2 linked regions of the Rattus norvegicus genome follow. The protein of the gene in region 1 interacts with the protein of each later gene in a pairwise test. Links are inferred from orthologs where the notes say so. Each region holds a gene or a part of one and is shown on either strand. Other genes may lie near its edges.

The links.
Region 2: the proteins of Pih1d2 (region 1) and Eif4a2 interact in binary tests that used the Homo sapiens proteins (3 or more experiments, as listed by UniProt). The two-hybrid records come from large-scale screens. The link is inferred for Rattus norvegicus from reciprocal best matches to the Homo sapiens genes PIH1D2 and EIF4A2.

What each region holds. Positions count from the first base shown.
Region 1 is NC_086026.1:59,862,396-59,872,087, reverse strand, and holds Pih1d2 (PIH1 domain-containing protein 2), read right to left. Parts: upstream 8,818-9,692; 5' UTR 8,583-8,817; exon of another isoform or gene 8,558-8,582; intron 7,966-8,557; 5' UTR 7,872-7,965; intron 7,662-7,871; 5' UTR 7,635-7,661; coding exon 7,458-7,634; exon of another isoform or gene 6,560-7,457; coding exon of another isoform or gene 6,556-6,559; intron 6,282-6,555; coding exon 6,158-6,281; intron 4,923-6,157; coding exon 4,677-4,922; intron 4,097-4,676; coding exon 3,831-4,096; intron 761-3,830; coding exon 626-760; downstream 1-625.
Region 2 is NC_086029.1:91,269,741-91,280,135, reverse strand, and holds the start of Eif4a2 (eukaryotic initiation factor 4A-II), read left to right. Parts: upstream 1-4,812; 5' UTR 4,813-4,833; coding exon 4,834-4,862; intron 4,863-5,622; coding exon of another isoform or gene 5,623-5,625; coding exon 5,626-5,671; intron 5,672-5,750; exon of another isoform or gene 5,751-5,752; coding exon 5,753-5,885; intron 5,886-5,988; exon of another isoform or gene 5,989-6,057; intron 6,058-6,154; coding exon 6,155-6,294; intron 6,295-7,005; coding exon 7,006-7,174; intron 7,175-7,260; coding exon 7,261-7,370; intron 7,371-7,405; exon of another isoform or gene 7,406-7,530; intron 7,531-7,600; coding exon 7,601-7,744; intron 7,745-7,775; exon of another isoform or gene 7,776-7,953; intron 7,954-8,571; coding exon 8,572-8,709; intron 8,710-8,749; exon of another isoform or gene 8,750-8,878; intron 8,879-8,946; coding exon 8,947-9,036; intron 9,037-9,067; exon of another isoform or gene 9,068-9,207; intron 9,208-9,260; coding exon 9,261-9,340; intron 9,341-9,809; coding exon of another isoform or gene 9,810-9,819; exon of another isoform or gene 9,820-10,395. UniProt on the Homo sapiens protein: ATP-dependent RNA helicase which is a subunit of the eIF4F complex involved in cap recognition and is required for mRNA binding to ribosome.

The sequences.
Region 1 (9,692 bases):
CTTGTGCTTATAGTGTCTTAAAAATTTCTGGTTGATGCAAAATTATGGACCTCTTTCAAGATTTTTATTTTCTATTTTAAGTTGTATGTATATGTTTGTGTATATGGAGGGGGTATGCAAATAAGTGCTGGTACCACAAGAGCACCTCAGATCCCTGCAGCTGGACTTACAGGGAGCTGAGATCCAAACCCAGGCCCTCTCCTCTACAAGAGCAGTCTGCACTTTTAACCATCTCTCTACGCCACAAAGTTTGAGAAAACTGGAAAGTGGACAGACACATCACGGCAATCTTACAACTTGGAGATTGTAGACGGAAAGATCAGGACTCAAGATCAGTCCCACCCAAGTAGCAAGTTTAGGTCATCTGACCTAGGGCTACCTGGGACCCTTTATCAGAGATAAAAATATATATATTTCTGGGTGTGGTGGTATAATCATTTAAACCCACGAGGCAGAGGCAGGCTTATTTCTATAAGTTTGATGCTAGCCTGATCTAAACAGCAAGTTCCAGGCTATATAGTGAGATCCTTAAACAATAACAAACAGAAAACCACTACCCCTGCTCACAATGTATGTCCTGTAACTCATAAAAGCTGTAACAATGAAAACACCAAATAAACTGTTTTTATGCCAGGGGCATTGTAATGATTAATATGGATTTATTTTTTATGAATTTTGCTGTAGTCATTTCTGTATTAATCGATTCTGGAAGATTCAGGCATAATCGGTACATCTCAGAGACCTCAATCAATAAATCAACCTAAAAATAAAAAATAGATTTAAAATCACGATACCAGACCATCGTAACCCGCTAGTAGATCAGTGCAGTCACTTGTATGGAAACCTCGTCGGTGCCACGAGACTTGGAATTGTGGACTCTTGAGATTTTGCTCACTAACACAACATTTTGTTAACGTTGTATGGTGGTGCACTCCAGGCTCTGTTACATAGAGAAACCCTGTCTGAGAGGTTGGGCCAGGGAGTTAATTGTAACAGTAGCAGAAGTAGAGTGTTGCATCTGAACACTGGCTGTCTTCCGGATTTACTGTCAGATGGCAAGGAAATGTACTGGAGCCTGGAAGAAAGGACCCATGTTTCATAGTAACGCCCTCAATGAACCTCGCTCGCCTGAGAATTTCAAATGCACATAATCAGCTATCTTATGCCTTTAGAAGAACTGGGGATATAAGGTCAATTCTTATTGGGAACATTTCATAAGGCATCACAGAGAGGGAGAATAGACACTAACCAGTTTATATGCAGCCTCCAAATGCTAAGACTTAACAGCTGAAAAATGGAGTCAATTCAGCAAGGATAAAATAAGAAATTGCTATTAGCTACAGTGGCTAAGACAAAGGTTAAGCAGCACTTGTTGAAAAGCCCGTGCGTGGACAGGCAGAGGGAGAGGTCAGCCAATCCTTACATTTGGTTAAGATGGCAGCAATTCAGTTTAATGACATGAAAGTGCCTTCATGAAAACGAGTCATTTTATGTATTAAACCTAAAAAATAAGTTTAAAGATAAAAGTTTGGAGCAGCTAGTCTGGGCAAAGAATTGTGGGTAGAGTAGTGACTACAATCATACAGGCACAATGGGCTAAAAGGAAAAGGAACTGCCTTCAAATTGTACAGCCCTCAACATTCCATCAGCAGGGAACCCACAGAAAATCCAGTGCCGACACAGTCTATGATATCCCTTTTGTATGTGTGGCCAACGTGGATGCTGAAACAGGAAAAACCTTCCCCACATGGAACTGAAATCGGCCTGACAATGGGTAGCTAAAGGGGCCCTCTACCGGGACCCAAAGAGCACTCCCACCCATCTTCATGTGGGCCATTCACAGGTTTTGGTTGCTACAATTTCAGGATTGCTGCTCCCCAGGAACTAGACCTTTGGATCATTTCTGAAGTGAGACTTTTTTTATAGTTGCTCTCTCCCTCTATGGTGGATGGGTTCACAGCAGATCACTTGTTTTGATATATCATCGGTCTGGTTTAAAAGGAGAACACAGCGGGCTGGAGAGGTAGTTCTGTGGTTAAGAGCACTGGTTGCTCTCTCAAAGTCCCAGCCAGCACCCACATGGCAGCTCGCAACTCTTTGTAACTCCAGTTCCAAGGGATCTAATGTACACACACACACACACACACACACACACACACACACACACACACACAGGTAAAACATAAAAATAAATTAAGGGGTTGGGGATTTAGCTCAGTGGTAGAGCGCTAAGGCCCTGGGTTTGGTCCCCAGCTCTGAAAAAAAAAAAAAAAGAAAAGAAAAAAGAAGAAAAAAAAAAGATATTTTTTTTAAAAAAAGGAGAACACAGACTGTGGTGATAAAGACCCTGTTCTTTGGAATCTGAGGCTAGGATTAGAGTTGTCCTTGAAGAATGAAGGAAATGTCTCAGTCTGAGGGTAGACTGTACCATGTCCCAATTATCTGCTCCTCTTCTGTAAGGTAAGAGAATTCTGTCTATACATCTATGCCATGTATGTATCACTTCCTGAGAGTCCCAGTCCTACTGATGTTTTGATGTACTTGGGCCAGTGGGATAAAATTAGAAGAGATATATGCTATATGTTCATAGGAGTTTTAGGTCTACTACGTGGAGCAGCAATTTCTGTTTCCCTTTACCGTAAGACTGGCATGTCAGGGGCTGGAGAGATGGCTCAGCGGTTAGGAGCACTGACTGCTCTTCCAGAGGTCCTGAGTTCAAATCCCAGCAACCACATGGTGGCTCACAGCCATCTGTAATGTGATCTGATGCCCACTTCTAGTGTGTCTGAAGACAGCTACAGTGTACTCACATAAATCTTTTTTTAAAAAAAAAAGAATGGCACATCTGAGGTTTCTGAATGTACAGAGCTAATGAGGCAGAGAAGGCCTACGTAATATGCAGCCTAAGCAAATTACTATAAGCCTTTGACTTTACTGCAGCATAATATAGGTACAAGTTTGCTGTATAATTGGCCCTCCACAGTACTGGTTCTAAATCTGTGGATGCAGCCTACCTTGTATTGGAACACAGTTAGGCGTACAGTGACTTCATCTCCACTAATCATGTAGCAGAGTATTTTCTTATTTTGTAATTGATACAGTCAAAACAGCTTGGTATAGGTTGGATGTCTTTGTTTGTTTGTGTCTTTGTTTGAAACAGGATCTTTCTCTCCATAGCCCTGGCTGTTCTGGAAATCACTAAATAGATCAGGCTGGCCTCAAGAGCACAGAGATCTGCCTGCCTCTGACTCCTAAATTCTGGATTAAAGATGTGCTCCACCATGCCTCAGTATAGTTGGATCTTAACTGTTCTCCAAATCTCCAAGTGGTTTTTCCCACCATAGAAATGCTATTTGGAGATGCTGGAACCTTTAGGGGGTGGAACTTAGTGCCAAGTCTTTGGATCATTGGGTATATTTCTGGAAAGTGGATTGTGGGATGATGGCCATTTCCGTACTGTCCCTAAGTGAAAAGTGGTTTTGCTTTGTCATGTATTTGTGTCACAATGTGCTTGACACTTCAACACAGGTGTGAAGATAGTTGTCTGAACAAGGTTGGAACCTCTGAAATCATGAGCCCTAACGAACCCTTCCTCTTTAAAGTTATCTTAAGTCCCTGTTCTGGTGAAGCGTAGTTGATGCACACTGAATTTACACAGCACTTACATGTTATTCAATGGTAGAAAAACCTCATGGACATGCAAGTGCAAGTGTTACTTGCAAACAATAAAAAAACTGGTCATCAGTGGATTTTTCTCATCTGCAGGAGTTCCTGAAAACAACCCCCTAGAGCTGCCTCCTCAGGAGTACTACAGTGTTTGTTTAACTTACCTCAGAAACACTAAGCTCACAGAGAGAGACTGCCTTAATCCCAGGTAACTCGACTTTCAGCTCAATTTTCAGCGGCTTCTCGTTCTGATCCTTTACAACCTTTAATTCGTAGGCAGGTGTCTTAGCCTCCACCTGGACTTCTGAACTAGCAATCTCTTCTATAAGACATCTCCCTTTGGCCGACACTTGTTTCTTTGTCAATAGCACCTCAGGAAGGTGACTGGGTTCACTCACAGTACTGCTTCTGATCCTTTCAAGAGTGTTGTCTTTGAGGAGAAAAGGGGGAGGGGAAGGAGATGCAAATATCAGGCTGTGAGCTTTAGGATATGTAATGTTCACACAGACAGTTGATGAGGCCGCAGTTACATTATTTGGAAAGGTTAGCTCTAAAGCTGGCCACGCTGCTCAGTGATAACCTGCCTGGATCTGAAGTTTGGGGCTGGATTTGATTCTGGTTCAACTAAACACAGAGAGATACCCAGAACCTCAAGCCAAAGAGTTTGCTTGGGAATCCTGCAAGGTTTTGACATCTTTCTGGATAATGTATATTCTTCCAAGCTTCTCATTCTATTTTTTAGATTTATTTTTTATAATGTAAGTACACTGTAGCTGTCTTCAGACACACCAGAAGAGGGCCTCAGATCTCATTACAGATGGTTGTGAGCCACCATGTGGTTGCTGGGATTTGAACCCAGGACCTCTGGAAGAGCAGTCAGTGCTCTTAACCACTGGGCCATCTCTCCAGTCCAGCTTCTCATTATTTTTAGAGACGTGTGGCTTGAAAACTATGCGCATGCTACAAACCCAGAATCTGTAATCATTTTTAGCTTACATCCATCAACTTACCTTTTCTCATCATCTCTTTGAAGTTTGGGAAGTGAGTTTTAATGCCCATCAGCCTTTCTTTCATTCTCTGAATGCTTCCTTTCACTCTAAAATGAGTAACATGGTATGAATGTGCAAGTGTGAGCTGGAGTCGCTCCTCGATGCACCGCATGGCCATCCTAATTAGCTGATCTTTGATTCCTTGGTCTTTTTCTGCCGCTTGCAGAACACCAGGATTGTAGGCAACATCAATGATGGTACAAGCATCTGTGTGTAATTCAGAGACAACTTGATTCTATAAGGATTTTGTCCGGCAGTCTTCTAACCCACGTTAGCAACATTGCAAAGCACAGGTTCCATCCCTGTGTTCTTAGAGCAATCACAGAAGCACTATGGTAAGCCAGCACTGGCTCGTCAGAAAGGAAGCCGACACAAAGGTTATTAGGAGAAAGGGCTTTGAAGTAAGACAAAGCCTTAGACAACAACAATGCAATATATGGAGATCTAAACATGATGGGACCTTAAAGGGAACTATGGCTTCCCTTTATATCCTGGAGAGGAGCTTCACAGGTTGAGAATGAGAGGTAATGTGGAGAGAAAGCTAGCTGCAGGAGATTGGAGATGGGAGATATGCAGGGAGGACAGGGTCCTGCAGAGGGCAGCATCAGAGCATTTGCATGACCAAAATCTTCCTGAAGAACAACCCGACGAACAACACAAAAAGCTGACTTTTTAACAACCTTTTAGGAGTGATAGTAATTTCCATGTCACATAACTTACTTCCGTATAGTGCACATTAGGTCATGGAAGAGACAGGTGACCATGAATTAAAGACTGTGAGGTCACAGCACAGGTTGAGTTTAACTCTGTCTCAGCAGGGAGGCCTGGTCTGATTCAAGCTGTATGATCTGGCCTAAAGATGCAGGTGTCTGTTCTAACATATACACAAAATTCCAAGTCTATGCTGCCATTTCTATTTGAGTCAAAAGCAGATCAGACTATTAGAAATCATATTAAACGTGCATAAAGCACACCCATTTGTTGGTAATTATTAATATTATTTCATAAATCATTACACTAACATTTAAAATAATATTATTGACTATTTCAATTATTTATTAACAATTAATAGTCACCAAATGAAATAATTTAATTAGAATATCCCTACCAAGTAAATTCTGGTCTTTGAATATGTTCAATAAAAAATTCACGGGGTTGGGGATTTAGCTCAGTGGTAGAGCGCTTGCCTAGGAAGCGCAAGGCCCTGGGTTCAATCCCCAGCTCCGAAAAAAAGAACCAAAAAAAAAAAAAAATTCACATATAGCTGTTCAATGGTGCCACAACACATTTAATTTCAGGACTCTGGAGGCAGAGGTAGGCAGATCTCTGAGTTCAAGGCCAGCCTATCTACTGAGTGAGTTCTAGTCAGAGCTACACAGAGAAACCCTGTCTGGAAAAAACAACAACAAAAACCCACACATGCTTTCTTTAATTCTTTATACCTGATGTCTCAGGGAAATCTTCTGGTCTGCCAACACTTATAGGTACAGGATGAGTGGCTGATTGTGGTGCGGGGATCCTTTCCCACTGACATAGGTTGATAAAAAGTACTTTTTCTTTTGGTTTCTAGAAAGTGAATAATTTTGATATTGCCAAATGAGATTTGATGACAATATCCTGAAAGCAAGTCATCGCTTTTTTTCAGGCCTTCCTACATGCAAAGGAAGTGCTCTGACGCTCAGCTAGATCTCCCACCAAGGGAGTTCTAGTCATCCACTCAGTGATTATATTAAAACTGTGCCTGACATCCTACAAAGCACAGTTGTTCCAAGCAAAGTATTTGAAGTTCTTTCTGTGTTTTGGTTCATTCATTCATTCATTCATTCATTCATTCACTTACTCATTTCCTCTATGCCAGGAATCAAATCCAACTTAGAGCCTCACACGCTAGGCAAGCATTCTACTGCTGAGACATTTTGTTTGTTTGTTACTTGATTTTCCCAAAGCTTCTGGCTCTTCATCCTAAGTCCAACTGCTGTTCTCTCTCAGAGGAGAGGAAGAGGAGATGAAGTAAACAACTGCTGTATGTGTTTTGGACCTCCTGTCACTGCTTCATTATTTAACTAATAATAGTAAGTTCTTTGTTTAAAAAAGTCCCCAGCTCCTGAGTCTTATTAAATCACAACCAGGAAGTCTTTAATCCCAGCACTCAGGATGCAGAGGCAGGAGGTTCTGGCCAGCCTGGTCTACATAGCACTGGACAGCCTATGTCTACATAAAGAGACAAACAAACATTCATTGCATCCAGGCCAGTTTGATGGGATTAAGAGCCCCTGGTTCCAGGCTGATGATCTGAATTCTCTCCTCACCTCATGGAAAGCCTACTCCCCAGAGTGGTCCTCTTTTCTTGCACATGCAATCTCTTTTTTTTTTTTTTTTCGGAGCTGGGGACCAAACCTAGGGCCTTGTGCTTCCTAGGCAGCACATGCAATCTCTTGACCCCCACCCCAACCCATAAAATGTAATACAAATATTTTCTTAAAAAACTTAACTCGTTATAGCACTGCTTTTCCACCTATCAGGGCAATAAAACTGCATTTGGGATTTCTAAAATACCAAGTATGAATTTCTCATTTTTACTCCTTCAATGAAATCTTCCATGTGGTTTCATTTTCTGCTCAGAGAGAGTTTTAATAAACTTCTCTCGTGTTAAAGTAGCGCTAGAAAAGGCTACTGTATCCTCTGGTTAAGCCGGAGTAGTTTTATTGAAGACCTCTCCTCCCTTGCAGTAGCTCCACATACTAGGATCTTTGTCTGTAGACAGAGTTGAGGTTCTGGGTCGGCACAGAGCTGTTTGCCATCTTTCAGCTCCTGCTGAATGAAGTTCCGGTAGCGCTCGGGATCATTTTCTGCCAAATCATCGAGCATGCTCCAGAACTGGGAGATGTGGGTGAGAAGACCCTTTGAGGAAGCCTTCATGATGGTGATGACTCAGGCCTTTGGAACCTGTTAGAGAGACAGGACTTGAGAAAGGCATGTAGGGTAGCTATGGCCTTATTTCCTCTTTCAGGGAAGAAGGAAGGTTTTTGCAGTTGTTCTGGGGGAGGCTCTTAACTGGTCTTGCTTCCTATGTCTAAAACAGTGTACACGTACTGCTTAATCTTGGCTTTTCTACAGTCTGTGAGCTGAGCCGCTTCCTAAATACCCACGTTGTACCTGTACTTCTGTCTGGTCCTCACAAATACAGAGGAAACAGAAAGGACTGTTGTTCCAATAGCTGGAATATTGGCTGACTTGGTGCCTTCCAGACCTGAAAGTGTAGGAGAGAGGGGTTGGGGGGGGGGGGGGACGGGACAGAGAGACGGGAAGGGGGAGAAATACATAGTGGCAGTACAGTAGTTAAAACTAGGCGCATTGCAGTCAATATGCTTAAGTTCTTCCTAACTACAGACAGCTGTATTGCCTTGAGCAAGTAGTGTATATATACACCTATTCTCTCTCTCTCTCTCTCTCTCTCTCTCTCTCTCTCTCTCTCTCTCTCTCTCTCTCTCTCTCTCTCCCTCCCCTCTCTCCCCTCTCTCCCCTCTCTCCCCTCTCTCCCCTCTCTCTCTCTCTCATTTTTTCGGAGCTGGGACCGAACCCAGGGCCTTGCGTTTGCTAGGCAAGCGCTCTACCGCTGAGCTAAATCCCCAACCCCACACCTATTCTCAAAACAAAGATGAGGATTAAGAACACTAATACTTAAGCTGGAACACCTGATAAATACTACCTCAAAGTAATAGTCAAAGATCCCGCCATTACCCTCCTCCCGTAAGAGAGAAATGTCGCCCAAAATTTAAAAAGAGATTTAGAGTCTTCAAATTATATAGTAAAGTCAGATTAAATAAACAACGAATACACACTTAATCCAAACGTGGGGGAACGCACCTCTTCTCTCAGTTTGGAGACAAACTGTGACTCTAGTTACCATGGTAACCAGGCCCGGTACACCGTCTAACTGAGTCCGGGGAGTGCAAATTAGAGTGGTGTCTCTATATCCAGTTCCGGTTCTTTTCTCCAGTGCCGGACTGGCTCCTCAGCGGGCTCGTCCCGCTTCTCTCTCAGGAGAGCGCCGGCTTCCTTCCTGCACCTGACAGCTTCCACGGCGACCGGCGAGCCCGCTCTGTGGGAGTCTCCTGTGGAGGGAAGCGTTTCTCCGGAGCACGACTTCCGGCCCGGAAGGAAGCCGCCGCCTTTTCTCCCACCCCGCCACGCGAGGCTGCGGCGCACGGTATGGGTGTGTTTGTGTGTGTTTGTGTGGGGAGGGCGTTTCGAGGGAAGGCTGCGGAGAGCGCCGAGGCTGTGGCGGGGCAGGGAGCCCGCTGACAGACATGGGGGTGTTTTCCCCGACTTCCCCTTGGAAACCTCAAGCTCCCCCTGAGGCACGCTAGACACTTCCCGGGGCCCAACGGAAGGCCGTGCCCATGCCCCGTGTCCCCATTCTGTCCCGGGAGTGAAACCGAACCGCCGGGCGCCGTCCCAGCCCAGCGAGAGCGGGGAATGCCCCGGTCCGCCCGCAGGCCGCGTTCCGCGCCTGCGCCCGCTCTGGCCTGGGTCCCGGAGAGAGAGCCGCCTGGCGGGCTCGGCTGGGGGAAGGCAGCCGTAGCCTGGGCCTCGGGTGAGGGCACTGTAACCGGTGGGAAGGCTGCGTTTTCACGAAGGACTCGGGTGAAGCTGCAGAGCTGCCTTTCAGCCCTGACTCCTTGGCTTCCTGGGTCGGAGGAGATCTTGTAATGGAGTGGTTCTTCGTCTCACACTAACAAGATGCCTGATTTCCTCAGGATCGAGGGGTGAGTGAGCATCGGGACGGTGGCACCAAGCCCCTGCTAGCTACACATGTGACTATCATTGTCTTCTGGGTTTTGAAAAGTTCTGTACAATGTAGGAAACAAAATGCCCTGAGTAGACATATTTAGGTCATTTAAACTTTTTTTTACAATTCAGGTTTTTTTTAAACTGTTGTCATACGTGGTGTTTGATACGTTCAAATCTACGTGT
Region 2 (10,395 bases), on another chromosome or scaffold:
GACAAGTGCTCGTTATCTCCTGAAGTTTAGAACTGTTCTGTGATTTGACTACAGTAGCAAAGCAGTTGAAGACATAAAATTCTAAAGCTGGTTGGTTACTTTGGTTTCTGGGATGGGTAGTAAAGAGAATGATATGTGAGCGACACAATTTTTTTACTCATAAAAAACGGGAGGGGAGTCACAGTTTAAACTTCTGAAATGCATTTGGCCTGGGCACTGCTCACCTGAAATGTCTTTGTTTTAGGGATACATGGGTTAGGATGGTGAATACCTATAATCCTTGTACTCAGGAGGCTGAATCAGGATGGTCACGAGTTCAGGATCATCCTGAGCTGCATAGGGAAATTACATTGAGGTCTTCAGGCTTGGCAGCAAGCCCCTTCGCCCACTCACTGAGCCATCTCGTTGGCCCACAAATGCTTACAAGGTATTGTGGTGAACGTGAGAGTAAATGCTACCTTCTAAATGACTTTGGGAAACATTGCTACACACACACACACACACACACACACACACACACACACACACACACACACAATCTGTCCTCTAACTTGCTCCAGTAACACAATAAAAAGAGGTAGGTAGAAGTAGCCTACCCAGTCTTACCCAGTGTCTTAGGTAGGGTCTTGTTGCTGTGAACAGACACCACGACCAACATGAGTTTTTATAAAGGATGACATTTAATTGGGGCTGGCTTACAGGTTCAGAGGTTCAATCCAGTGTCATCAAGGCGGGAGCATGGCATCATCGAAGCATCCGGGCAGGCCTGGTGCAGGAGGAGCTGAGTTCTACATCTTCATCTGAAGGAAGCCAGGAACAGAATGAGCATCCCCAGGCAGCTAGGAGGAGGGTCTCCAAGGTCACCGCACAGTGATACACTTCCTCCAACAAGGCCACGTCTTCTAATAGTGCCACTCCCTGGGCCAATCATATTACACCCAACATGGGTAAGAGATTAAGAGAGCAGCAGGCAGTAGGCTGTGCCTTGGGGGGTTGGGCTGGGGGGGGGTGTTACTGCTTCATGAAACACCAGGACTAAAATCAAGATGAGGAGGAAAGGGTTTATTTATTTGGCATATACTCCCACCTCATTGGAGGAAGTCAGGACAGAAACACAAACAGTTCCAAACTTAAACTCCTGAACCTGGAGGCAGGAGCTAATGCAGAGGCCATGGAGGGGTGCGGCTTACTGACTTGCTCCCCATGGCTTGCTCAGACTGCTTTCTGAGAACCTAGAACCATGAGCCCAGGCTGGCCCTTTCCCACTGATCACTAACTGAGAAAATGCCTTATAGATGGGAATCGTGGAGACATTTTCTCAACTGAGGTTCCTTCCTCTCTAATATTTTATTTTAAATTTTGTCTGTGTCAAGTTGACACACAAAACCAGCCAGTACAGGCAGGCTGTGAACTTATTAAACAATAAACTTTCAGGAGCAGTAAATAGGTCTTAAAATAATACATAAGCAAAATTTTGTGGATCAATTGATTACAAAGCTGCCATTTCCTTTTTGTTGTTTTAACCTTATTTTATTTTATGTGTACGGGTGTTCGACAGTGGCTGGTCTGGAACTTGCTATTTTAGACCAGGCTGGCTTCCAACCTACCTGCCTCTGTCTGCTGACATGTGCTATGCAGGGCTCTATTTAATTTTGTTTGTTTGGTTGGTTGGTTGGTTTTTAAACAGTATTTATGTAGCTCAGGGGGACTCTAGCCCAGGTACACCTTGAACTTGTGATTCTCCTGGCACACCTCCTCAGTAGGTGAAATCACAGGCCTGTAGCCTGTGATTATACATACACACACACATATATATATATATATATATATATATATAATTTGTAGTATAACTACAAATATACTACAAATATACTACAAATATATACTATATATGATATATATAATAAATTATATATATATATATCATTTGTAGTATAGCTGGTCTCACACATTCCAAGATTGTTAAGGAGCATTTATATTTATTTACCTATTCACTTATTTTTGAGACAGGGTTTCTTTATGTAGCCCTGGAAGTTCTGGAATTTGCTCTGTAGGCCAGACTGGCCTGAGATCCTGCTGCCTCTCTGCCTCCACCTCTGTCACACAAGTGCTGGAGTTAAAGGCTTGCACCACCACTGCCTGGCCACTAAGGAGTATTTATAGCTAACTTTGAGAAGGCTGCTTTCAGATGATAGCTAAGTATCCTTAAACTGAAGCGTAAACTCCGTCTCTACAGGTTTACAAAACCTTAGAACGTATGCTTTATTTTCAGCTCTCCTGTTACTTGATGCTATTCGTGCGGTGAGAACAGAATAAGCTTCGCATTTATTGGAAACACATTATAGGACGACAGACACTGGGGTTTATCTTTTTAATTCATTATTATTGTCTTTTTTTCGAGACTGGGTTTCACTATGTACCTCTCTGACTGTTCACTATGTAGACCAGGCTGGCTCTGAAACTCAGAGATCCATTTACCTCCATGAGCGCTGGGATTAAAGATATGTGTGCCCATACTCAGATTATACTTTTAAAATATAAAATGCCTTCCACAGTGGAAGTCTAAATATTTCCTCTTAAGGGACTTACAAAAATCCTCAGGGCAATGTAATGACAGTACTACTAACCCTAAAGAAAACGTCCAATGGGCAAGTATGTGGACCTGCTTCTCTCTCAGTGAAACATCAGTTACTTTGTTAAGTTTCTTAGACCAGGTGGTTATTATTTACTTCTAATTTTATAGCAACTTTGAATGAGACTCTATGCTGATGGCCTCGTCCCTTGAGGCAAGGTCTCATTATATATAGCCCTTGCAGGGATCCACAAGACTCTGTGTTGGGAGCAATGGCCTTGAAACCCTCCATTATCGATGTTAATATTATGGTTAGAGTTTAGTATGACTGGGTTCATGGAAAATCCCCAGCCAGCTGCAGAAGACTAATATAAATCTGGTGGTCAAGATGAGTAATGATATAACATGAAAGTTGTGACCTTGCTGAGAAATACATCTGATGTCAGGATGCCCAATATGACAAACCTGTAACCTTTCTGAAAAACCAACATCCTGTTGACATCAGCTGACCACACAAATACGGCGTCCTTGGCCTGCGTAAATGTTTCCTACTCCCCCCCCCCCCCCGTTACCCCTGTTATGGTATAAATTCAGCCTTGGGAAAAAATAAAATTGTCGCCTTGATCAGACTCTTGTCTTGGCGTCCTTCTTTGTGTCTCTTGTCCCCCATTCTCTTCCAGGTACCCTCTGCGCCCTCACTGACACTCTGCTTCCTGAGTGCTGGGGGTTAAAAGTCCGTGTCACCATACCTGGTCTCTATTTTGTCATCATTTTGTGACAGTTTCTGACAGAGTAACTTCCTAATAAGTAAAGGTTTTATTTTTGAATAAGGAAGGTATCTGAGGTGGGCGAGATGACTCAGAGCTGGCCTTAGGGCATGCTGACCTGAATTCCATCCCCAGGACCTACTTGTGGGATCCACATGGTTGGAGAAGAATGGACTAAGGGTTGTTCACTGACTTCCACAAATGCTGAGGTGCATACTCAAGAAATAAATAAACACAAAGTAATCGTTTAGAGCCAAATACTTTTGGTAAAGTAGCAAATTGAGCCTTTTCCTCCTCCGGTAGATCAGCCTTTGGTCTTGGTCTTCTGAATTAATGAGAAAAAAAATTTGAGTTTTCACGATGCTTTTGTAATATGCTTTAAAATTCAATGATTAAATATCTTCTAATATTTTTAGCGAAGGCCAGATTTGTGGTTGACTGGAAACCTCTAGGCTTACGCAGCTATGCAAGTTTATTATGGGCAATACGAGCTGTATCGTCTCAATTTCAGTAAGGCAACATTAGACGATTAAAATAGGTTTTTTTTTGTTTGTTTGTTTGTTTTACCAAAAGAGACAAACAGCTTTTGAAGTGCTGGGGCTGAGCCTGCCAGGAGCACGCATTAACGTTTTTGTGTTACAAAGAATGACAGGTCCTTTGCAAAAGTTGGTAGTGATTCTATCAATCATTTCTCACACCTGTTAGGTTGAAACTGTTAGCATTACTTTTTAAACCAGACCTGAAGACGACCGACCAGAAAGACATGAAATTCGAATCACCACCCTAGGGACATCTGTTAATGATACTCCAAGTTGTGCTCCTCGTCTTAAAAAAAATATAACAGCAAACTGGATTTCCTAGGATATGCTGGGTGGCCGACATTTTCCGTGGCAGGGGTTTCACACGTTCCAGATCTGAACGGATATTAAATGGCTGGGCGAAATGCCAGGTGGCCCTTTACTGTCACATTAAACAGCAGTGAGAACGGGCGGGGTAACCCGATTCCGTTCCGGCGCGGAACGCGGCGGCCCGGCCCAGGGCCACGCTGACGCGCAGGTAGCCCGGAGCTGCGTCCTGGAGACGCCGCCCGCCAGCGAACAGCGCCACCGGCTTCCGCCCTAGGCGCCCCCGGCTCCGCCGGCCTCTGCGGCAGGGCCGCGGAAACCCCGTAGGAGCAGGGCGGCCGAGGAGCGCGGCGCGCGGTCGCGCTGCTGCAATATTCTTCCGCCGAAATCAAAGAGTCCCAGGCCCCCTCCTGATTCATGGATCTCCAGGAACGCTGTAATACCAAGTAATAGTGAAATGTGGATTTTGTCATCGACTCCTTTAGGGCTTCACCTCCGGTAACAAACTCCAGGAGTACAATTTTGTGGCTTCCGAAGAGGGAATAAGAAAATTCCTCCGCGAGAAACGGGTTCCGGCCGCGAGCCTATAAAAAACGGGCGGCGCCGTCCCGCTGTCTTTTCAGTCGGGCGCTGAGTGGGTTTTCGGATCATGTCTGGTGGCTCCGCGGATTACAACAGGTACGGCGCTCCTGGGGCGGCCGGTGGCCTGTAGTGAAGGTCACTAGCACCCGCGGTTGAGGTGGGTGGCTAGCGGCCACACTGCAGGTATGCGGGCTTTTTCTTAGGGCACACACAGTCTCCTTGTGTCCTTCGAGAAGCTTCCATGATGGTAGGACTCCAGATGTTGGGGAGACAGGACGGATAGGAGAAGGGAGTATTAAGGATGCCCTTCCTTAGGACACATTGTGACATCTTGGCCGCTGCCCCTCCCCATGTGGGACATGGCAAGCAGAGCCGTGGCGCAGTCTGCTTAGGGCAGGATAACCGGGTCCCGAAGGTTTATTTGCCGCCAGCGGCGCGAGCTGGGGTTCTTAGTGTTCTGTCGAGGTGGGAGACCGGACAGCCAGAGGACGATCACCCTGGACCGTAAACGGGGCGACGAGCCGTTGGCATGGTCCTGCCAGGGCCTCTCGGCGTCAATCACGCCGGCTTGCGCAGAGTTAGGGGCGGAGCTCGGCGCGCGGAGCGCTCGCGAGAGCTTCCCTTCCCAAACGGGAGGCCCGGGTCCTAGGGCACTAAGTAGAGGGGCCTCTACACGGAGGACTCCAAATCCTCAGCTATTGGGAAGAACGAATGGTGTCTACCTGCAATGCCACTGTTCTTGAGGCATTTTCAGTAGAGCACACGTGCGCGGAGGGTAATGAGGCACGGGGTGGAAGGGCCTTTTTAAGGGCTTGTGGCTTGGAAGAAGTATGTCTAACTGCAGTGTTCTTGTCAGCAGAGAACATGGCGGCCCAGAGGGAATGGACCCCGATGGTGTCATCGAGGTAAGGAATGGGTGTGGACGTTAAAGGGTTGGGAGGTACATTTTTTTCCGTCTTACTCATAGTTTTATTATTAACTTACAGAGCAACTGGAATGAAATTGTTGATAACTTTGATGATATGAATTTAAAGGAGTCCCTTCTTCGAGGCATCTATGCTTATGGTTTTGAGAAGCCTTCAGCTATTCAGCAGAGAGCTATAATCCCATGTATTAAAGGTAAAACTCCACTGACATTTAGGATAAGTGTTCTGCACCCACGTGGACCGTAAAAGGGAAAGTGACCTTTTGGGGAAGTACTAGCACCTGTTTGTATTCCTTAAAGTGAAATGATGGCAATCATCTTTCGGGACTGACCTGAAATGAAGAGAAAACTCTCTGCTGATCACTTATATGGGCATAATTTATGTTCCAACTGGAATACATGGTGTGTAGTAGAAGTAACGATTTGATGTGGGATCGGTAAATATGTATCCTACTTTTTTTAGGATATGATGTGATTGCTCAAGCTCAGTCAGGTACTGGCAAGACAGCCACATTTGCTATTTCCATCCTGCAACAGTTGGAGATTGAGTTCAAGGAGACCCAAGCACTAGTATTGGCCCCCACCAGAGAACTGGCTCAACAGGTATTGATAGTGTAGTTCAAAAACTGCTTGCGTGTTGCATAGGTTTCAGGTTTCACAACTGTGAAGGATTTAAAATTAAGACGTATAAACTGTCCTAGTCCTATGAGAGCCCTCATAATGTCCGTGCATGCAGGGAGTTTGTTGTTAGCGAACAGGAATGGGTATTGTAGGTATGACTTGTAGGGCCTGGTGTAGCTCAGTTAAACCCATAGGTTTCTCAGGGTGGATTAGAAATTTGGAATGCAGTTGTGCAACATGAAAACTGCAGTGACATGTTAACCATTTGACTGTCTCAGTAGTTTGTGATGCATCTGTTGCATGCTATGTTTTCAAAGCGCTGCTATATTGGCTTTGAAGTAAATTCCTGATGAAGCTGCAAGCTTTACTCAGGTGAGGATAAGGCTCAGTGCCTTGTGGGAGAAATACCAGCATTTGCCCTTACAGAGAACATTTCACTACACAGTGGAGAATGTAGACATTTTTTTTTACCTGTGTTCCTAGTTGGTGTTTGAGGCAACAGGGCACCAAGTTTGAAAAGACAAGAAGGGAGCATTAAGTAGTTCAAGAGTGAATTTTAAGCTTGTAATTAATAAGTTTTGTGCTATGCATGCATAAAAGCTGTTGGCATATATATGATAGTACAATTATGCCTTTAAGCTTAGTCCTAGACCTTGGCTTTACAGAATGATAACTAAAATATTTTGCTTTTAGATCCAAAAGGTCATTTTGGCTCTTGGAGATTATATGGGAGCAACTTGTCATGCTTGCATTGGAGGAACAAATGTTCGAAATGAAATGCAGAAGTTGCAGGCTGAAGCCCCTCATATTGTTGTTGGCACTCCTGGGAGAGTATTTGATATGCTAAACAGAAGATACCTTTGTAAGTGACTTTTAAAGGCTCTTTCTTATCTGTCACCAAGAAGGCTGTGAGAACTTTGAGATGAAGTATGACTTTCTTATTAACAGCTCCAAAATGGATCAAAATGTTTGTTTTGGATGAAGCAGATGAAATGTTGAGCCGAGGGTTTAAGGATCAGATCTATGAGATTTTCCAAAAATTAAATACAAGCATTCAGGTAAAGTTCGTTTCTATTCATTTGGGTTTGGTTTCATGCAGGTACAGTTACAATAAAACTGAAGTGTTCTATTGTCGTTCCCCCTGCTTAAAGTATCTGATACATTACTATCTCTGCCTAGCTCTACCATAGTAAGGCAGAGACGCTTGGTTTCAAACATTTTTCCCTATAGTATTTGCTGCAAGCTTATACAAACTAAACAGGTAAAGACAGTCATTTCTTTTTTAAAGGTTGTGTTACTTTCTGCCACAATGCCAACTGATGTCCTAGAAGTGACCAAGAAATTCATGAGAGATCCAATTCGAATTCTGGTGAAGAAGGAAGAATTGACCCTTGAAGGAATTAAACAATTTTATATTAATGTTGAGCGAGAGGTAATTTTCTTTATTAAATGTAAGGGTTTTTACCTTCTTGTATAAGCACTGTGCTAAAATTACAGGAACTAGGATTATATCTTGGTTTTTGTAATAATGCTAGCAGAGTACACACAAGAAGAAGAGTAACTGCACTGGATTCCAAAGACTGGGGTGGACCTCTTTCTTAATGTCCAGTGTCCTTTGTCATAAGATTCGGTGCAATAAGTCTTTAGATCAATTCTCCTTGGAGATCATGACCATTTGGGGGTAGCATCAGGTATTTTACATTGTGGCTCAACAATTAAGTAGCAACAAATTTATGGTGGGGAAATGTATTAGAGGTTTGTAGCATTAGGGTTGAGAACCGCTGTGGGATGATGTCACAGGTGAGGCAGGTACAAGATAGAGTGAGGCCTGTCATTGGATGAGAAGGAAGGATGGGTGGGAGAAAAGTTTGAAGGAAGAGATGGGAACAGAAGAGGAGAGAGTTGGCGGGGGTTTGGGAGCTGACACTAAGCTTCTGTGTGCACCTTTACAGGTTCTTATGACTGTTCTTAAGGGGTGGCTTTGTATATATTTGGGTGGGCAATTATATCTTATAAATTGGACCAAAGGTTATTGTTTGTGTGTTCTTTCATGTAGCAGTTTAAGTGTAAGGGAGTGTGGGGTGGCTGGTCTGGGCTGCCACAGAGTTGGGGTATGTGCTTCTGGCAAGAAATCTAGCAGGATACCTTGGGGACTTGCTGGACTTGAGGGGTTAAGACAGTCATACTTTTATGTATTTTTACATCACAAACCACTGCTTTAGTTTTGTTGAAAATCATGGAAATTTTGTTTGACTTTAGGAGTGGAAGCTGGACACTCTTTGTGACTTGTATGAGACTTTGACTATCACACAAGCAGTTATTTTTCTCAATACAAGGCGCAAGGTGGACTGGCTCACGGAGAAAATGCATGCCAGGGACTTCACAGTTTCTGCTCTGGTAAGAGTTGTTGGATTTAGTAATGCTAATTATAGCCATTAAGCAGGATTTTACTACAATATGGCTGCTCAGTGCTGTGTTGTCGTTCCCCCTGCTCAGAACAATTGTTTCTTAACTATACCTGTCTGCTGTCTACCTGTAGCAGCCAGGGACGCTTGGTCTCATACATGATAGAAAGAAATTAAATGAATGCCTGACCTGAATAGGGATTGCTGAATTGAGTTGTTGTATTTGCAGCATGGTGACATGGACCAGAAGGAAAGAGATGTCATCATGAGGGAATTCCGATCAGGGTCAAGCCGTGTTCTGATCACTACTGACTTGTTGGTGAGTTTGCTGTTTTGTTTTGTTTTCTTAAGTACCAAAAGCTAGATTTGTGGAAAAGGTTTTATTTAATAACCTTAACCAGTTCACGCTATTTGGCAGAATGAGTAAGACCACACTCCACAGTGGACTATACCACTTAGTATGGTTCATTACTATATTGTGGCCTACATTGATTGCAGAGATGTCTAGGTTTTGGATTATATTAAACAACCTCTTTATTTCAGGCTCGTGGGATTGATGTGCAACAAGTGTCCTTGGTTATAAACTATGATCTACCTACCAATCGTGAAAACTATATTCACAGGTGAGAAGAAAGCATCTCCAATATTTGTATTGGAGAAGTAATATTTGTATTGGAGAAGTAAATTCAAACATGTCTACGGTGTTTTGTATACAAGGTACTGACTGGCAAATCAGGGAATAGATTGCAGTAAAAAGGCATAGTAATTTACTAAGGTCTAAAATTGTGTTTGGGAAGATTGGTCAGAACAAAGTGGGAAACTGTGTAATGTGGCCAAGGTTGTGTATTCACATGCAGACTAGGTTGATTTAGATTTCTTTGGTCTTAGCTTATGTTTGAGCCTTATAGTGATTTTTCTTGTGTCCATGTGCTTTTTTTCTTGGTGATTGATTCTATACAGTTGGGATTTTCTTGGTGTTGCTGGTAGCATTTTGAGTGATTCCCTGGTTTAGTTATAGTGGCTTTTTATCCCTAAATAAATTGAATTGTACTTTGTTATATGATGTAAAAAAAGACTTTTTAAAAAATACAGGAGTCGATAGCGGCAGTTGATGACGAGATGGCGCTCAGAAACGGCGTTGACGTAATTTAGGACGTGGAATCATAAGCGAAACAGCACACTGTTTGAATAAAGAGCGAGTCGGTATTTATATTTGATTTTCTTTTGTCATGATTATTTGATATTTTAAGTTGTTCCAGCCCAAGGCATTTTTGTATGTTAGCATTTCTGATAGGGAGCATTAGGTGGTTGTATTGTCTGGTACTTTGTAGGAAGGTAGAGAGCTGTTTTGGAGGTGTAACACGTTTGAGTAATTTGAGTATAACGTGTGAAAAGAAGCTGAGCAAAAAGCAGTGATGAGTTTGGGTTACCATACCAAATACTTGCTTTCACACTGGAAAAAGTAAGTTTTAGAAAATAGTTAACCTTGCAGTATTTGTATTTACAGTTTACAGTTCCAGAAGTGCGTCGAATGGATTGTATAACTGTTTCTTTTATTCCTGGTGTTTACATTTGTCCCAGGCTGACAACTGCTCCTGGCTGGCCCACTTTGGTATGGGCTTTAATTTCACCCCAAACACAATACTGTCATCTGCTTTACTGTAATGCTCAAGGCGCC